Daphnia pulex: one gene and its partners. The protein of the gene in region 3 purifies or fractionates together with the protein of the main gene of each other region. This does not show direct contact. Links are inferred from orthologs where the notes say so. Each region holds a gene or a part of one and is shown on either strand. Other genes may lie near its edges. The genes, in order: derlin-2-like, derlin-1-like and selenoprotein S-like.

Region 1 (6,512 bases), on a different chromosome or scaffold from region 3:
ATTGTTTTATTTGTGTGCGACACAAAACAGAAAACAAAAAGGGGAAATAACAAGCTCTTGAGACGATATCTTTTCACACCCTCTCCCTATCTTCGTTTTTCTGTCCAAACACCATTTGGATGTTCTTCTTCTTCTTCTTCTTCTGTGGCGATCCTGTGAGATTCTCTGACTCATCGGACCTCCTTTCACTTATTTGGTTGCTGCTTATTTGTTGAGTATAGTTTAGTGTGGTAGTAGTCGTAGTAGTCGGAGTCTGTGTGTGTGTGTGTTTCATTCCGCCATGTCAAGGTCGCTGGTCACTCGCCAGAAAAAAGAAGAAAAAACCCCAACAAAATTCCAGCGAGCGGTTCGCGTGCATATAGATACTACCAAAAGAGTTCTCTCTCTCTCTTTTTCATTTTCATTTTCATCTCTCTCTCTGTCTATCTGATTCTTTTTCGTCGTCTCACACAGAACCCTGATGCGCTTTTATAACGAAAGAAAAACCTGTCGACACGAGGTGGAAATTAAAGTAAGAGAGAGAGAGAGAGAGACGTAGAGGTATAGTTTCTCTCTCGCCTGGCTCAAGGTTTCTAAAATTGGCGAAGGCGGGCCACGTTACGAAGTGTGGCGAACGAGACACACAGCTGGACTGCCATCAGGAGACTGGAGATGGACAAGGCGACAATCTCCAGGATCTGGCTCAGGCTGAGTGCCACGATCAGGATGATTGTCACAAGTGGCAGCTGGACCAGGAGTGTGGTGAACCAGAAGGTGGACAGCTCTGCCACTTGCTCGCTCAGGTTGCCAGACATGCCCAAGTAGATCCTGGTGGCTTCCGTCACACAGCAGGCAGAGACTCCAATTCCAAGAAGGAGATACGAGAACCAGCCAAAACATTGGTGCTGCCAAATGTAGCAAGAGATGATGAGTGAAATGTAAGACAATGACTTTTTCTTCGTATTATGTAAATACCTTTGCCACAAATGATGCCAGGATGATCGCCAGCCACACTGGGTAGTAGACCAAGTTGAAGTATAGTGACATTTGCAGTACCAAACTTGATTGGACATCATAAACTTTGCTCCATAAAACAATCAAACGTTTAGCATAAAGTACGAGACGCAATAGATAGAACTTGAATGATTTGAGAAGAATTGAAGTTACCTATGTCACTTTGACCCGATACGAATGAGAAATCTTGAGGTATATCCGACAGACCTGGAAATATTCTATCGCTGAAAGAATCCACAACATTTTGAACTGATTGTCTTCCCATTATTTCATCGCTTTCGACGATGGCTTTTGGCTATGAACGAAATGACAGCCGATTGTTTTGGGCATTTCAAACTGGGCGCCATGGCAACGACTCTAGCAGAACAACTCAGCTGTTTTCATTCGTGACTTTCTCCCGTCACAGTATTACATGTGCTGTGTGGTACACGTACAAACTTGTTTTGTGAATAAAATACTTGGCGATTATATTAGAGCAAGTAAGCTGTGAAAAAACTTGTAGGATCGATGGCTGGAAAATTATTTTTCATCTTTCTTGTCCAGGTTTCACAATCCAAACATGGGAAACTGGCAACTGGAAGCAGCCAAAATGGGGATGTACATGATTTTCCCAGTTGGTTGTTTCTATTACTTTAACCAGGCAGAGTATTTTGAAGATTGGATGATCAATCTGAGGAGAGAAATGTACCCTGCCGAAAGCAGGGTGAACAAAAAGATGTTTGAGGACACCATTCGCCAAATGAAGGAGAAAGAGGAACGGGAATATCTCAGACTACTTGAGGAGAAGGAAAGAAAAAATAATGCCTAAGTTGTCTGTTTCTTAATTAGATTTATGTATACAAGAGTCAATTTCAACTAAATTTATTTGATTTCTTTCGTCATCGTGCAGGTTTGATTTCTACTTATCTCTTCAATTCTAGACTATAACATTCCCAACTCCAGTATCTGCTTCCACTATCTGGTGGACTAAACATCTTTAAGCAGTTCAAAAGATCCTTGAAGAAACAAAACAAAATTGAGGACTGCGTGTGTGATCAGGGCAGTGAACTCGCTGTAGCATAAGCCTTTCCCAATGCAGCATCATCTCTGTAGCAGGTCAGGATTAGAAAATCAAATGACTCCAAACAAATAGCAAGTCTTGTTAGTTTGACAGATTTGCGACCTTCAAGTTGTGTATTTGGAAATCTTTGGCGCATTCACTACAAACAAGGCGTCGTAATGCAATCGAGTTTTTTGGACATTTATGCTTCAGATGGGAATGTATCATTTTCAAGGTTGACAACTGCTCCTTCCTATTTGTTGGCTTGAAACAAAATCGCTGTGCGCTCGGTGCAAACTTGGACGTTCAAAGAACCTTTTCACTAGAATTCGCAATCGGTTATCTCAGATTGACTTATGGTCGGTCCGCCTCCCCTTCATCTCTGAGCTAGCGAAAAAGGGAATAGTCTTGTTTATTCACATCAATAGAATATTAATTCATTATCTAGTGCGCTCCGATTTTGATTGTGTGTTCCCAAAATGTTCGAGTTGGATGGGCGAAGAACTGCACTATGGACACTACGAGTACGGTTGATTGCGTGTAAACTTGACACGGTTAAAAGATGGCCATAAAAGGAGAAAGGGGAAAGCGCTGGATATTTGTAAACGTTGCAACAAAGCAGTATGTCAATGCTAGTCGGTCATTGGTAAGCGAAAGAAAACCGGGCCACTGTGTAGAAGGAATAATGAGGGCGAACATCGACAACTGTATATTAAACAAATTTCCATGTATTTTCTTTTGCCATTTAGTAATTTTTCAAAAAGACGATTGTGTTTGTTTCTCTTTTTTTTCTTTCTTTTCCTCACTGATTTTCGTTTTCTCTCGGCTGGTCGGCGACTGCGTCTGCCACTCCCGGAGCACCAGCACCGCCCCAATCGAAACCCCCAGGACGCTCGTCAGGAGCCGGATTGTAAAGAGGGTCTTCAGTGTGCGTGTCGAACAAAAGTTTCCTAGGGGGGGAAAAGAAAAGAAACCGTGAACCCCTTGACCGATCTTTGATGTTTTTCTTTTCGAGAATGCCAAATTGTTGCATACAGTAAACGAGGCGTGGCCAAGAGTCTTCTGCCTCCAGGCTGATTAGGAAACACATCTTCCAGGAAGAAATACAAGTGACCGATGGCGATCCCGAGAATGTCCACCAATACGCTATTGCCTAAAAGAACTGAAAAAGCCACGAGAACCCAAGGCAAATATGGGGCCTATAAAAATGTCAGGATAGAGAAAAAAATTATCGGTTAATTTTCGCACAGGGTGTTTTGAATTTTGCAGTTGCTTTGTCCTATTTACTCGAAAAGGTAGAAGGCCGAAGAAATTCATCCTAACGTAAGGATTTCTCCGAGCCCAAATATAGACGAACATCGTGGTGAGCGAATGTCCAAGGAACAATAAATTTACAAACCAAGCACATATCTAAAAACATGAGAAAAGCAAATAGTTAAAAAAACTTGAAACAGGAATTCATGCAAATTTTCATAATTACCACTGTTGTGATGCAGCCAAATATGAACATGTAAACAAAATCAGCTGTTCTACCTCTGAATGAACCCTCCTCCAACATTCTACAATAGCGATAGGTAAAAATCATGTTGAACAGAAAATTGAAGCTGAATGTCCCAAAAAAGAAGAATGGAGTCAGTAGCCTCCATATCTGCAAATACAAGATTACATGATTTGGCTACCATACAAAAGCAAACCAATCCTATTACCTCAAACTTTTGAGTGATGAGCAAAGGATTGAAATACAGTTGAAAAGGTGACACCACATCCAGTTGCTGAAAAGGAAATGTTTTGCAGTCGATTACTGAGTCCCTTTCAAAGTTTCGAGTGTTACTTACCACTGCAATTGAAGTGAGCAAGCAAACAGTGGTGTATGCCCGAGTTACTGGAGGCATCAACATATACTCTTGGCGTAATGTGTGGTAAGCCATGGTGCTTTCTTGTAATTGATTTCATCAACAGTCAACTAAGATGATGTTTTATCACTTAAATTGTATACTGTTATTGTATACAAAGGACTATGACCAGCTCAAACACGAACCTCAAATAAGAAAAACAATTTATGAATACCTAGAAATACAATCAAGAAACGATTTATCCAAAAATGTAAGGATTTCGCGAAACACTACCAACCATCGTTTTTCCCAAGAGTCAAATTGGTTTGTTTATTTTTTCTTTTAACAAACCCCCCTTGGTCGACGTGGACAATTTGTAGAGGCTACAGCAGAAACGGAAATGTCAAAAAAAGGGAATTCCAAAGATCAATTTTTGGTTGCTATTGCAACGGTGTAAATGGCGCCTCTTTTGATGTAGCAGACAACTTTTTGATTATTATTCCATCCAAGATTCGAGTGATTTGAACCGTTGGAACCTCAGTTTATTTTGACTAAATTGAATTTGTTGACGTAACCCCTAGTTTTTATTTTTCATTTCGGGTCTTGGCGATAAATCATCCATCTTCTACTTTATTTATTATTGGGAGGGAGATGATGAAACTGGAAGTAGGTGCATTCAGTGCAGTCTTGCAGATAAAACAAAAACACATGGTCGAGTGTCGTAGTTCGTATATTTGGTTTGAAAAATGGTTGGCTACAATTTCCACGGTTATTGACTTTTGTGAAACTCTAAATTCTTCTTAATGTGAAAGGATATATGCAACTTGAGTAACAGTTCATGCTGGGATAGGTGATTGAGCAACCATCTTCACATCACAAAACAAGTATTTTACTCTTACATAATTATTCGATGAGTGTGTTTTCTTTTTACTATAGCCTGGTACATGTTGACCGACCACAATTCATGTATCAATTTCTAGGAACAGATTAGGTAATAAAGAATACAAAGAAAGGAATTGGCTCTCTCATAAGATAGAAAATTACATAGCAGTAGCTTTCATTATTTTATCTGTAAATTCTACTACAGCTAGTAAGTTGTGTAATGATTTGAGATGCTGAAAGGCTTTTTTGTTTCTGGCAGAGCCATTAATGTATACTGGAACAAGGCCAGCAAGATGCATACCTTCTGTAATTCTATTTTTGGGATACCCTCATTTCTCCCTCTAACTCTTCCAAAGGCCACTTTTATTGAGTCTCTAGTACACTTCCCGTTATACCACGTCGTCTCTCCCCCAATGCAAAAATTCACTACACAACTGTTGCGTTTTGCAGTAAAATCTTGAATTGTTTTTACTTTTATAGGAGCACGAAATCTAGACGAGAGAGGTACGCCAATCAACGGTCGTTGCTACCAAAAACTCTAGTGCAAGAAATTGAGTAAAGGAAACTGGGCAGACATTACTCTCTTGCCTCATCATCGCCGTGACTACTAGAAGACAATCTAGTGTCTCGTTTGACGACCAAAAGATCACGTGACAGATGTGTATCATTTTCAACCATATCGTCGCGACGCTGAACATCCGCCGCACGTGCGCAGTCATATAGAGTGAGGAACATCGGCTGCAGTCGCACCTACGCCTGGCTCTCCAATCGGTTTTTGCTGTCTGACTAGACTGGCCGAGTGATAAGTTATAGCGACGCCGTCAAACGTAAGATATCGTCGTCGTAGCCTTTTGTTATTATCCCTATATTTCGGTTTTACCTTTTCAGTTGACCTTGTGACAATTTATCACTTTGGCTTGTCCAGTTTTTTGTTTACAGATGAACGTGAATATCGGTGGCGTCATCTCTGTGGCTTTCTTCTACTGTTTGATCCTGGCCGTTGGAATTTGGGTAGGATGGAAGGAAAAGAGGAAATTTAAACAGCTACAGCGGATGGAAAGCGGTGCTAACCTGTCGGAGAACATAATGCTGGCCGGACGTGATATGGGATTGTTCGTCGGAGTCCTGACGATGACGGGTAACGATGAGTGTTGTCCCGATTCAGTATACAAGAGGGGTAGATTTGGTTTCCAACAAGCAGGTTTAAACAACAACAACTACGACAGCGACGTGGGTAGCAGGAGGTTACATCAACGGCACCTGTGAAAGCGCCTTCACTGGTGGCTTTCTAAAATGCTCTACAATGGCGATCGGATATTCCATGAGCCTCTTACTTGGTGTGTGTGTGTTTGCCTCATTAGTGTGTCTATAGTAAATCATGTTTCATCATTTTTATTCTTTGGATAAAAAGGTGGAATGTTTTTCGCTAAACCCATGCGAATGGCCCACGGAGGTCGAGGATATGTTACCATGCTCGATCCCTTCCAGGAAAAATACGGCTCACGTATTGGTGGGCTATTGTTTTTGCCGGCCCTGTGCGGGGAGATATTCTGGTCCGCTGCTATCCTGTCGGCCCTTGGTGACGCATTAGAAAAACTTTTTTAAATGTTGGCTGTCAAAATGTTTTAATTTTAGCATTATGCAATAGGATCCATTTTCACCGTCATGCTGGGACTGGACAATACTCTGTCGATAATCATAAGTGCTGCTGTGGCTGTTACTTACACCTTGATTGGAGGCCTTTACAGCGTGGCCTATACTGACGT
Region 2 (5,614 bases), on a different chromosome or scaffold from region 3:
TGTAGGTACGATATTGTGGCAGGCCTTTGGATGTATATAAAAACCAATGGATGCGTAAACGACGTTTAGAACAGGTTAGCGACAACTCGACTCCTGATGATTGTAATTTGTCCACTAATGAGCCTGTACTGCTGGAACCTGAACCAGTAATTCAAATGAGTATGAAACAAACTGTCGGTGATCGACAAATTATAAAGCACGAAACGCTAGGAAACAGGACAAGTATCGAGTAAGTAGACAAAACAATTATTTTAAGTTTGGAGTTTGTTTCTAGTTTCTATTTCTTATTGTCGTTTCGTTACCAGGGATCCAAATTTGTTAGTTGAAGCCATATCGTTCGCAAATATAGGGAAACTTCAACCTTTTCTAATATCGTTAAACACGACTGCTCTTGTTGTAATGGACGTTCATTGCTCTCTAACGCGTTCAGAAGTTGTTGGATATTTAGCAGGCCAATGGGACATTAACACGAACAGTGAGTGCTAACTGATATGTTTAGAAAACACATACCCACAATAATTTGTGTGATTCATTTTAGCACTCACGATTAAACAAGCGTTCCCTTGTTTAAATCGAGTTACGACTGATGATAAACGAGGCCAAGCTACCGAAATCAAAATCGCTCAATCAATAGAGAGTGCTGGACTTTGCTTGGTAGGATGGTATCATAGCCACCCTTTATCACCGCCCACTCCAACTGTGCAAGATATTGATTCACAACTCGAGTATCAATTAAAACTCAAAGGAACTGGTGATCAAGGTTACCGACCTTGCGTAGCGATGATTTCATGTAATGAAATATTCCTTACTATTATATGTTATCATTACCTGTTCACTTTACTTTTTTATTCAGCACCGTTCCATCACGCGGAACCTAGCCAATCAACGTCGACCACTCACTTGACGTGCTACTGGGTGTCTCCTCCTACCGAATCTCGACCACTTGAACTTGGACGTCCTATGGCCATGCAATACAACGTTGTGTATGACGCCACCGTCAAAGATGACGTAGTCCCTAAATTGGTAAGGCAAACTTTACTAGTTCTCTAATGACATTACAACCAATCTTTATTTAACATTTTGCTAAATTAGGAAGCTTGCCTTAAATTTTACCGTGATTCTCCTGACCGCACAAATTTTGACGAAAACTGGTCTGATGAACTCACGATTCTGGATAAGTTGAAAGCGACTTTGAAGTCCAGCTTACAAAGCGAAGATGATGTGATTATCGATTTGGTTGACACACTCAGCAACATGACCAAAGTGAAAACGAAAACAGATCTCACCGACGTAAAATCTCCTGCAGAACCTATAGACCCTGAACCCCAAAACAACCTAAAAGAAATCTCGTGTATGTGAGACAAGAAAATCGCGAAATCTATGAATCGAGGTTTTTCTTTGCAAAATTCCAGCCATCTGGGAATCATGCGTACAAATAATACATATGAATAAAAGAGTGAGACAAATTTAGTAAATTTAAATTTCTCTTAAGATTAAAGGGATACATTTTCCAGAAATTGATGGGAGGAGGGACGATAATCGTTTCTTTAACATAAACACATCAAAACATTAGAATCGGGGTTTAATTTTGGCCATTGTGAGGCTAGTTTTGGCCACCCAAAACATTTCCACGTCCCCAGTCATAGCGTCGAGGACCTGCATCCTGTGCAGCTGCTCTAAACTCAGCCCTAGGTTGAGGTGCCGCGCCGAATCCTTGTACTCCGCTTCGTTGATTCGGAAAATATTTGTATCTGAAAGACGAAGTATTTAACATATTTGCTAAAGTTAAATAAATAAAATGGCGTGTTACAGGAATTGCGGAGTAGTTAAGAGCAAAGGACCACCAAATTCTTGAGGATACTGCATCGTGAGGAAAAAGTATAAATGTCCCACGACAATTCCAACAAGTTCCATGACTCCACTATTGTAGTAAAAGAATTTAGTATATCACAAATTACATTATTTGCAGTTTCTTTACCCTCCAGCAATGATCAAGTTAAATCCAAGCAAGACCCAAGGAAGATACATTGCCTTGAACTGTGTTCCAAACCAGAAATTGACAATTGTGTCCTTATTTAGCTGACACCAAACATACAGTACACTCAGTACCATTGGATCCATCAAATACTAGAAAAAAATTATTGTTATTGTAGTTATTATGAGGTCTTTTAGGAAGCAACATGTAGTCGGAATCAGGAAACCAAATACTTACAGGAAAATCAGCTAGGAGTCCAATTATGACACAGCAAATCCAGTTGAATAGCAACATGAAAAAGTAGTCAGCTTGTCGCCCATTGAACAGTCCAGTTTCAAGTTGAAGAGAATAGTTATACAAGAAATACAAGTTGATGAGAAAGTGAAATCCTGTTTTTGGTGTTATTGGATAATAAAATAATGCTGTTGCTGGTCTCCATATCTATTGAACAATCAATTTAAGAATAAGAATGATGTTTTCTAAAATATTCAACTACAACATATTACATGGAATGATTCAAATATAGAATGGTAATCCAAGATAAGATATTTTGGACTCAAAATGGCAAATCTGCCAACTAGTGACAACGCAATAGTTAGTCCGAACCAATGCCTTGTGAAAATAGGCAAATTTTTGAACCAGCTGCTTAGCTCACTCATCTTTAAAAAGGTTTCAAGCCACTTTTCCAAATTATCTGAAAGGAAATGTATCAAAGAACAATGTGTATCTCAATCGAATTCAAGTCAAGATCAAATCGAAGCAGACGAACACTTACGTGTCATTAGAGGATAAATACAAAACAAGGCCAAAACCCAAAATCAAATCGCACAGTCATCCCCTCCAATGCCATCTATGAATCACCAATGGAAAAGAATAAAATAAAAATAAAAAAAAAAGGTTAGTATAATTAGAATGATGATAGGACTATTGATTTCTATTCAATAAAATTAATTCGCCAAGACCTTAGTGCTCGGCGCAGTTGAACCGAAACAGTTAATACACTACCAACGATAAAGAAAATCCTTAAAACGATTAGCGTTATGAGTATGACTGTTTTTCCTCATAATTTGTGTTTCTAAAGGCAGGAAAGCAAATGTGTGGTAGAAGACAGATTCCAGATTCGAAATGCATCCTGCAACGAGTCGAATAAAAACTAATCATATTAATTTTAAAGGGAAAAAAAGAAGAATAACTATTTTACCACGCAAAGGAATCGTATGATACCGGGTTGTCGACAAAAACTTTCCTTATTAAACTGTACAAATTCTCAACACATGCTTAATCTGATGGCAACACAGATAAGTTACCATGTGTATTAAACTGGGAAGGAAGGAACAAATCATTGGGGAGGGGGGGGGGGACCTCGTTACGAGATTCTACGACAAAAGAAAATTTCCAAATACCAGACAAAGCAAAATTGTTTGAAAAAAAAAGGCACCAAAGGTATTAGTTACAAATCACCCGATAGGACACTTTAGCAATAGAAATCAACAACAACAAAAATGATCAATGTCATAATTTTGAAGACAATAAGGCGTTTATTAGAATCAACTTGATTTACGGCCACCTCCACTGCTCGGTTGCCCTTGGCCGGGAACTATACGGTACTGAACGCGATGAGAATTAGATTGCAAATGACGAAGATGTCCAGCCTAAATTTAAAAAATTTATTCCATTTAGACAAGACCTAATACTAATTTAATCAACAATCAAGACATAGAACAAACGAAGTAAAATACCTGACAATTTGCCCATTCTGTGATATCATAAACGGCACCTTCCATGCAAGCGTAGTATTTAGAACGAAAGCCCATGTATCGTGATTCAGCCCATAGGTCCCCTTCGCGGGCGGAATGATGAATTTTGCAATCCTATTAAAAAACAAAATGAATGAAAAAAGGAAATTTTTTATTTTCGCACTTTACATGTACCTGACAATATCGAGCAGCATAGCAAGGCCGATTAGTTTTCACTCTTCTGTGACGCTTGGCACAATTGGTGCACCGAATCGTGTTTGCGGCCTCGTCCATTTTGGCATGCAACCGTGAGAGTAGCTCGTTGAGCTCGGCCCAAGCAGATTCCATCTCGTCTGCTTCTTGTACTAATTGGTCGTAGTGGCTGCGTCGCTCTGGCTGACCAACCAATTCAAAGGCATGCGCTAAGATTTTGAAGGCCTCTTCAGCTCCCCGTTGTCGATTTTTATCTGGGTGAACTAAAACAGCTTGTCGCTTGTAGTAACGTCGAATCTCTTCGTCGGAGCAATCTCGTCGAACACCTGAGAAATAAAATCTATAGCGAAAATGTCAATTAAATGTGAAGTCTACATCCAATTACCCAGGATGCTGTATGGATCTCTTCCTTTGCAAGCCAATAAACGATGCATAGCTTCTTCTCCGGTAGCAGGTAAAGGGATATTGGCATTTAAACCACCTAATGTGCTGCTTCCTTCGTCAGCTGATTTGCGTTGAAAAAATCGGAAAAATTCACGAATGGACGGCAACCAATTAGTTGTAACATATTGACGGCAAGTCCGTGTCTGAAATGATATCCATTCAGTGACCAAGAAACTTTTCTCCCACAAAACCGTGCGGCATTGCTGAAGTCCCACCCAAATCAAATTGCAACTCATCTGAATAACGTCAGCGCACAAGTTGTACAACCTGATGAAAAGAGAGGTGTCAATTAACATCAAATTCAAACAAGATATAAATAAATACGGATATTACCACAAGAAGAACCATCCACAGAAACGAGCAAGCTGTAATTTTAAAAGTAAAAGAAGAATTTGTGAATTTTATGAATGAAGGCAATGCCAAATGTAGGAGGAATATCCTTATTGATAGAAACCCACCTTAGGGAAATAGGCACGCGCAAGTGTTGCACTGGTGCTGGGAGGTGGGTTTCTTTTGGTTTGGCGTCGATTAGTTTTTTCACTGTCCTTTTCTTTTACTTTGATTTTAATCCTTTCATTCTTCTTTAGATCTTTCGTGCGAACTTCCACTGGAGTAACGGATTCATCGTCCGATGGTGGTAGCTCAAAAGAAGGACTATCAATCAAAGACGGTCGGTTCTTTTTTTTAATTCCACCTAGATCTGTTTGAGACCGGACACTGCGTACCGATTCATTCACAGAATGCCAATTTTTCTCGCTCGGGCTTTTGGCATTGCCTTTCGTATTATTTCCAGATGCCAAATTGTTGTTTATTTTCAATGGTCTCTTCTGGTTAGTATTGACTTGGCTTCTGTGATTGTTTAAACCAGGTTTCACTGGGGGTGGTGTTGCTTTAGTAAAACTGGATGGTGTTTCTTGTTTTGGACTCAATAACTTTTCTTTATAAGTTTCTTTGCGAATTTCATTTTCCACTTTTGATTTCTTGGACAGCTCTTCACTCACATTGCCAGGGCTTTCACTTCTTGTTGCGAAAGTGAGAACATCTTTATAAGTGCGTTTACTTTGAACTACTTCAGCAGGTTCTTCCTGCAGCAGTTCAGACTCGTATGTTGGTTCAGTAATATGTTGAACTTGCTCTTCCAACACGGGTCGAGTTTCTAGAAGGCTCAAGTTGGCAATTTCTAGGGGGCTACCTTGAAATGGGTTGTAAGTTCCAAAGTCACAGTAAGAGGGTATATCAGAATTGA
Region 3 (5,841 bases):
TTCTTCCATCTTTTGCGAATTTACTTCCGCAATATCACTTGACTTATTGAGCTGTTCCTCTTTCTCTCCAGTCTCGTTCGAAGTACATTTGATCTCCTCTTCAAGATCATCGGCCATTTTCCGTAGCTCCTGTACGGTTGGTGTCGCTCCCGTTTCTTTGCAAATGTTGACCATGTGGATTACATCAATCACGATAAATACGGCGGTTAAGGCACCTGCTGCGGTCCGGGCAGCTTTTGACATGACCATGGGCGTTCCTTTGAAAGCAGACATGAGATCAGCTGCTGTAGCACCGGTAGTCGTTGTCACTCTCGCTGCTGCTGCTGAGCCCGCGTAAATCATGGCTAGTCTTGCCAATTCCGGTCTTTTAAAGTAGTTTAAGAAAGCAGCTATGGCTTGTTTGATACTACGAATTTGACTTATTAAAAGGGTGCAGATTTCAGCCAAAGCGTGTAGAGATTCAGGATTCAATGGTAAAGGCAGTTTTTGAATCAGGCACTTGATTTCGGGGTCTACAACGTGATTTACCGCTCGACTGATCTGAGCATAATCTCCATTTAAAGCGTGAGTTATTAATTTTTGAAATGTTGTCAACAACAGCATCCATTTTTGTTCACAGAGTTTGCCTAGCATCTCCAATGTTGGGCGAAATCGAGTGGCACGGACCAAGTACTTTGAGTCAGACGATGAGAGTTTTTCGAGGTGTAGCAAGTGTTCACCCAGTTCCTTTTTTAAAGATGTGAGCTCCTTTTTAGACAAGAAATAACCGGTAATGTTAGCTCCTGCGGATGTTATTCCGCTCAAGATTCCAGTCGTTGTTCCTGCAACAGTCAGGCCAAGAGAGATTCCAGCAGTAAACGGAGCAGCGACTAATCCTCCAATGACAAGGAGTCCTGATCCAATACCGACACCTGTGCCAACACGATCGGCGATTAAAACGTCATTGTGAGTTTTTTCCAGATAGTCGGCCATGTCCCTCAATCTCTTGATAATTCTTTGTCTTTCACGAAAAACGTCTTCTGAGAGTTCTTGAAGCATTTTCAGATTAGTCAGTTCATTTGGGAGGTGTTGTAAAGTGTCAAAAATGGTTAGACTCTCAGATTCTGGGGAAGCATGTTCTGTGTCAGTTGTTCGAATAGCATATTTCACACTCTCTGATGTACCAACTTTAACACCCTCTTGCCATGCTGAATTTCTAAATCGGACAAAGAATAATTGTGGGATACAATTTTGGTTATTTTAAAAAGCAATACCTGTTTGACTGTGTTGTCTGGTTTTGAATTTTCCCAGTAGCAGATGAGATGTCAGAGACAGAATTAGTATTACCCATCTGAAATTTTTTTGAAATCTTTTGTTGAAATATCTAGGAAGAACATAAATATCAGAAGCTTACTCTTTGATTGAGGAAATAATAATGGCAGGGCTGACAAAAAAAGAGCTTTGTTTGTTGGACTAACTGAACACGGGATCTTCATTAGATTTCCTCGAAATGTTTATTGCCATTTGCCAAACGTAAAATCTTTCTGCTGGATAGGACACGCCTGTCCAGAGAACCTTGAGAATTTTGCTGATGTGAATAATATCCGGTTGCTACGCTTATTTTGACATTTCGAAATTCCATAATAAAAACAAAAGCTGACAGGTAGTCCATTTGGCAAGTCCTAGATGGCGTTTATCGAAAACGACCCCACATTTGAGTTTCGAGAAAAACACAAAAGTTGTTGTTTTGTTTCACCGTTTAATATTTAAATTTCAAATACCGATGGCTTTTTTGTTGCTCATTGGTAAATTGGAACGTTTATCCTGTCGTTGCGTATTGCCCTAAGTCTACCAGAAGGTTGGTGTGAACCATGATCTATAAACTGGTTTACTATAAACCTAGGCACCTATTTTCTATTAACCAGTTTATAGACCATGGTGTGAACCTTGGACAAAAATCTTGTATATTTCGGCCTTTCGCAACATTCGAACGACGATGCTCATTGCGTTATTGCGTTACATACCCAGAGGCTTGAGATTTTTTAAATTTCATTCCTAGATGGCATAGGTATCGCTGTTTCTGGGAAGAAAATATACAAGTATTATTTTCCGCAGACAACATTTACCATTTAGTGACTAGGCATTCGTCAGCAACAAGAGCGATGGTTGTTGTAGATTATTTGTTTTAAAAAAAGTGAAAATGACAGAATCGGACGAATGGGCTACGGTTGAGACCGTAGTTGACGAGGAATTGGATAGTAATCACCACGAAACTATCCACAAGCAGGGACCAAGTGGCATTGAACAGGGTATTTTAGAGAAAAGTAGGTTAACTTGTATGGTTTCAGTAACATTACGAAAACTTCATTTGTTTTTACATATTTTTGCAGTTCTTTTCATCCTCAGTAATACCAATCCATGGCTACTTCTTTTTATTGTGGTTGGTATTTATTACCTTGTGCAGAAGTTTTGGTTTTCTTCTCAAAGGACCAGCTCAGATGAATATTCAACTTTTAGTAAGAATCAAGTTGCTTGATTAAACATAAAAGGAAATGGCTTTGGGCTAATGAATTTTTCAATACAGGCTCAGAAGAGATCCTTGCAAGGCAAGAGGCTGTCGAGCTAGCTAGAAGACAAATGCAAGAACAGTATGATAAAAAAGCTAGAGAACACGCCATAAAGCAAAAGGAGGTCTGTCATTTTCACTTATAACAAGTTCATGGTGTTTGATGTGTTTCTCTGTAATTGTTTAGAAAGAGGAACTCTTACGCCAAGAGAAGTTAAAGAACTTGGAGAAATACGGAACCAAGTTGGGTAGAAGCAGTAAAACACTTGCAGCAGAAACGAGTAATGATCAGCTGCAACAGAGTATAATAAAAAAGAAATCTGACAAATCTAAGTTGAAGCCAGGTAAAATTTATTGTTTTGAAGCATCCAACAAATTGTATTCTAGAACAGGCAGTTTTCTTTTTTAACATTAACACGCACACAAATTATGATTCGATCCAAACAGAGTACAATCCATTGATGGGGGATGGAAGCAGTGGCGTCTGCTACCGTCCGACTAGGCGTGGAGGAGGAGCTGGAGGTGGATGAGGTTAAAATTCGGAGTGGATATGTGCTGCGGGTGTAGTCCTTCTGCCGCAATTATATGATCGCTCTCGGGCTCTTTGTCTTCCTGCCAATGGCGAAATGAAGTTGTTCAGTAGAGTTTTTCCTTGTTGCTCAGATTAGTGTTATGCCCGTGTTAACAGCTCCTCTTCATTGACGTAACCCCCTTCCTTTCGGTGACACGCTGAAAAAGTGTTGCAATCCTTTTAAAGATTTTTCACTTGAATGATGAAACCTTTGGCGTAAATGACTTAATTTGTCATGGTTGAGGGTTGATGTAACAGCGTTCTTCGCCGCTTGGCGGGTCCAATAAATAAATTAAACAACAATCAATCAATCAACATTCAAAAATAGAGACACGCTACTTGACTCATTTGATCATAATTTGCACTAAATTGTCGTTTTTTAAACGGATGAGATCTCGTTGTTCTCTGGAAATCTGATTCGTAGAGACAGGGGGAAACAAAACAAAATTTAAATTGCGTTAAGCTTCAACATGTAAGTGGTCGTTTTTCAGGACGATCGAAGACATCTTGTTGTTTGTCCGACTTCCTCTTTGAATGAACTTTATCGGAAAGTATCTTTGACGATTTTAATGCTGTTGTTTTGCTGGTCAGTGTGACATTCGTACTCGATGGAGTGAACGGTCGTGCCCCAGTCGCAATGTTGGGTACTGTTTGCTTTATAGATTTTGATCTGCAAGGTCGTAGTGAACTCGTAACCGCCGTCCAACTAGAAAGGCAAACAAAGCGATAGATTGCATGAGCAGTTGACAGCGAGTAAAGTCAGGCTCGTTCAAGAAAATCCATCACGGGCCGCACAGTACACATCCCCCGGAATGCGCTATCAGTCCCACGAGATGAAATGAGCAATACGGAGGGTATGTCAACTGTCGGCTCGTGACAAGGGTATAAATGATCGGACACAGTATTTACCTTCACATGCAAGGAAACCGATTCCCTTTGTCCTTTCTTTGATGGTTGCAGATTGTCTAGCTGGAATTGGGCCGAATAGCTGGAAGCGTTTTCATCTTCCAGTTTGGATGAGTTGTCAGTTACTTCAAGCGATTTTTCCATCACGGCGATCCCCCTGCAATTCATTTGATTTGGAAGAAAAATAGGGTTAAAAGAAAGATTTCCCCCTTTTTTTTTTCTTATTCCTCTTTTTTTTATATAGAAGCAACAGCCGGCCATGCTTTCTATTGGGTATACTGCACTTTGTTGTTGCCAATAAAGCGTAGTTAGAAGCCACCAGAATCGCCGGGCGTATGGACTAAACGAGCAGGACGGAAGCAGCGAAAAACACTTCGTCAGGGAACATAGTAGATCGTTACGGACGGTGAAACAGGGGGGAATAACAGCCAGCAGCTTAATGATCCATAAATGGGGAAGATGGAAAAAAGAATGACGATGAAGATCGAAAAAACTAAAAGAAAGAACAAAATAAAAGAAAAAAAAAGGAAAAGAAAGAATGGGGGGAAATCAAACGAATAGAAAAGGCAACTGAGTATCGATTTTGACGTCCCTCTGCGACTCATAAGTCACCAAAACTCTTTTTCTCTTTCTTTCTCTTGTTATTTGTCGTACCGGATGTTACTAGATCTAGTAAGGCTAACGAATCGTTTTAAATCCAAGTCCATCTCCTTCGTTTTGCGGCTCGTAACGGCAGCAACAATCTTGTTGTTTCTCCGAGTCTAATAATTAGAGTCACCTACACCCAGAGCCGTAAGCCCATCGAGAGATTAAGTGGAGAAAGGCCTCTGCGGTCGCAAAATTGCTGTCGGACGCTAGTCCACCGTCATTTCGCCTTAATGTGTTTATGTTGAGTGACTTGGTGATGATTTTAATGATTGCCGATGGATCCTAGGCGGCTGGCGAGGCGACGCCGAAAAGCGTGAAATTAAAACAAAAACAAAAAAAAATCGTTCTCTAAACATTCGGCCGCTAAATTTAGTACCGGAACCCATCTTTTCGCTCGAGTGCCTAGAAATAGATTTACGTTCTCGAGAACTAGGCAGCGTGAAATTTAGTGATTATCGAAATTGATTAGCCACTTCTTCTTTGCGGGCTGCGGTTCCTTCGAAATTTTCCATCATTTTAGCCGGCCGTTCGTTTTAGACGGCGACGTTTCAAGAGGTTAATGTAAAAATCGATCGATGGCCGAGCACTCCTGTACGATTTTGCTGCTATATTTACGACCACTTTGGAAGGCACCGGGATTCTAACGAAGTCAACGTAAGCGACCTGTTTTCTTCGCCCCCCTTGATGTTTTACGCAGTTGGTGCACGCCTGTCTGCAAAATTCACGCTCGCCGATCGATAGGAAACACACACACATGCACGCACGCACACACATACACGGCGGAGGGTGTGGACTTGAAAGTCATCCAATATAACACGCTACCTTTGAGTGTATACACACACACCTTGACACAGATCGCTGCGTACTTTAGAGGGGCTTCCATTTTGTTTGGACGTGTATCCTGGGCAATGACATTCTCGATCAAAAAGCGACCCTTTATGCAAATGGCCAAATGCCAGCAAGGGTTATTCGACCGACCTGACTAAAACATTGAACGAATGAAATGTTTCGGGGAAAAAAAGGGAAAAGAGACGCACGGGAAACTTTGGTGAATGGATGAAAAAAAAAGAACGGGACCAACTCAGTTGCCTGGAACTCCTGGACGTCACGTGGAGCCTATACATTGGCGAATATAAGAGGGGAAGGAAGAGCTACGGTTATGGCGGGAGTC

Evidence for each region.
Region 1: the proteins of selenoprotein S-like (region 3) and derlin-2-like purify together in Homo sapiens (affinity purification with western blotting; 3 studies listed by BioGRID and IntAct, with this or other methods). This does not show direct contact. The link is inferred for Daphnia pulex from reciprocal best matches to the Homo sapiens genes SELENOS and DERL2.
Region 2: the proteins of selenoprotein S-like (region 3) and derlin-1-like purify together in Homo sapiens (affinity purification with western blotting; 6 studies listed by BioGRID and IntAct, with this or other methods). This does not show direct contact. The link is inferred for Daphnia pulex from reciprocal best matches to the Homo sapiens genes SELENOS and DERL1.

What each region holds. Positions count from the first base shown.
Region 1 is NC_060027.1:834,495-841,006, reverse strand, and holds derlin-2-like, read right to left. Parts: upstream 4,308-6,512; 5' UTR 4,163-4,307; intron 4,100-4,162; exon of another isoform or gene 4,071-4,099; 5' UTR 3,961-4,070; coding exon 3,868-3,960; intron 3,805-3,867; coding exon 3,739-3,804; intron 3,681-3,738; coding exon 3,513-3,680; intron 3,443-3,512; coding exon 3,320-3,442; intron 3,232-3,319; coding exon 3,068-3,231; intron 2,983-3,067; coding exon 2,835-2,982; 3' UTR 2,148-2,834; downstream 1-2,147. Other genes in the region: transmembrane protein 17B-like, read right to left, coding at 573-884, 955-1,058, 1,147-1,258; high-affinity choline transporter 1-like, read left to right, coding at 5,686-5,884, 5,973-6,083, 6,158-6,325, 6,395-6,512.
Region 2 is NC_060018.1:4,693,373-4,698,986, forward strand, and holds derlin-1-like, read right to left. Parts: upstream 2,751-5,614; 5' UTR 2,635-2,750; coding exon 2,482-2,634; intron 2,417-2,481; coding exon 2,213-2,416; intron 2,128-2,212; coding exon 1,979-2,127; intron 1,922-1,978; coding exon 1,811-1,921; intron 1,752-1,810; coding exon 1,604-1,751; 3' UTR 1,463-1,603; downstream 1-1,462. Other genes in the region: MPN domain-containing protein-like, read left to right, coding at 6-229, 306-475, 539-1,023, 1,093-1,359; dnaJ homolog dnj-5-like, read right to left, coding at 3,523-3,627, 3,715-3,846, 3,907-4,250, 4,310-4,635, 4,702-4,733, 4,827-5,614. UniProt on the Homo sapiens protein: Functional component of endoplasmic reticulum-associated degradation (ERAD) for misfolded lumenal proteins. Forms homotetramers which encircle a large channel traversing the endoplasmic reticulum (ER) membrane.
Region 3 is NC_060021.1:7,800,862-7,806,702, forward strand, and holds selenoprotein S-like, read left to right. Parts: upstream 1-2,066; 5' UTR 2,067-2,179; coding exon 2,180-2,303; intron 2,304-2,369; coding exon 2,370-2,495; intron 2,496-2,563; coding exon 2,564-2,670; intron 2,671-2,732; coding exon 2,733-2,889; exon of another isoform or gene 2,890-2,992; coding exon 2,993-3,075; 3' UTR 3,076-3,419; downstream 3,420-5,841. Other genes in the region: uncharacterized protein LOC124194966, read right to left, coding at 1-1,195, 1,254-1,330; CB1 cannabinoid receptor-interacting protein 1-like, read right to left, coding at 3,658-3,822, 4,026-4,179. UniProt on the Homo sapiens protein: Involved in the degradation process of misfolded endoplasmic reticulum (ER) luminal proteins. Participates in the transfer of misfolded proteins from the ER to the cytosol, where they are destroyed by the proteasome in a ubiquitin-dependent manner.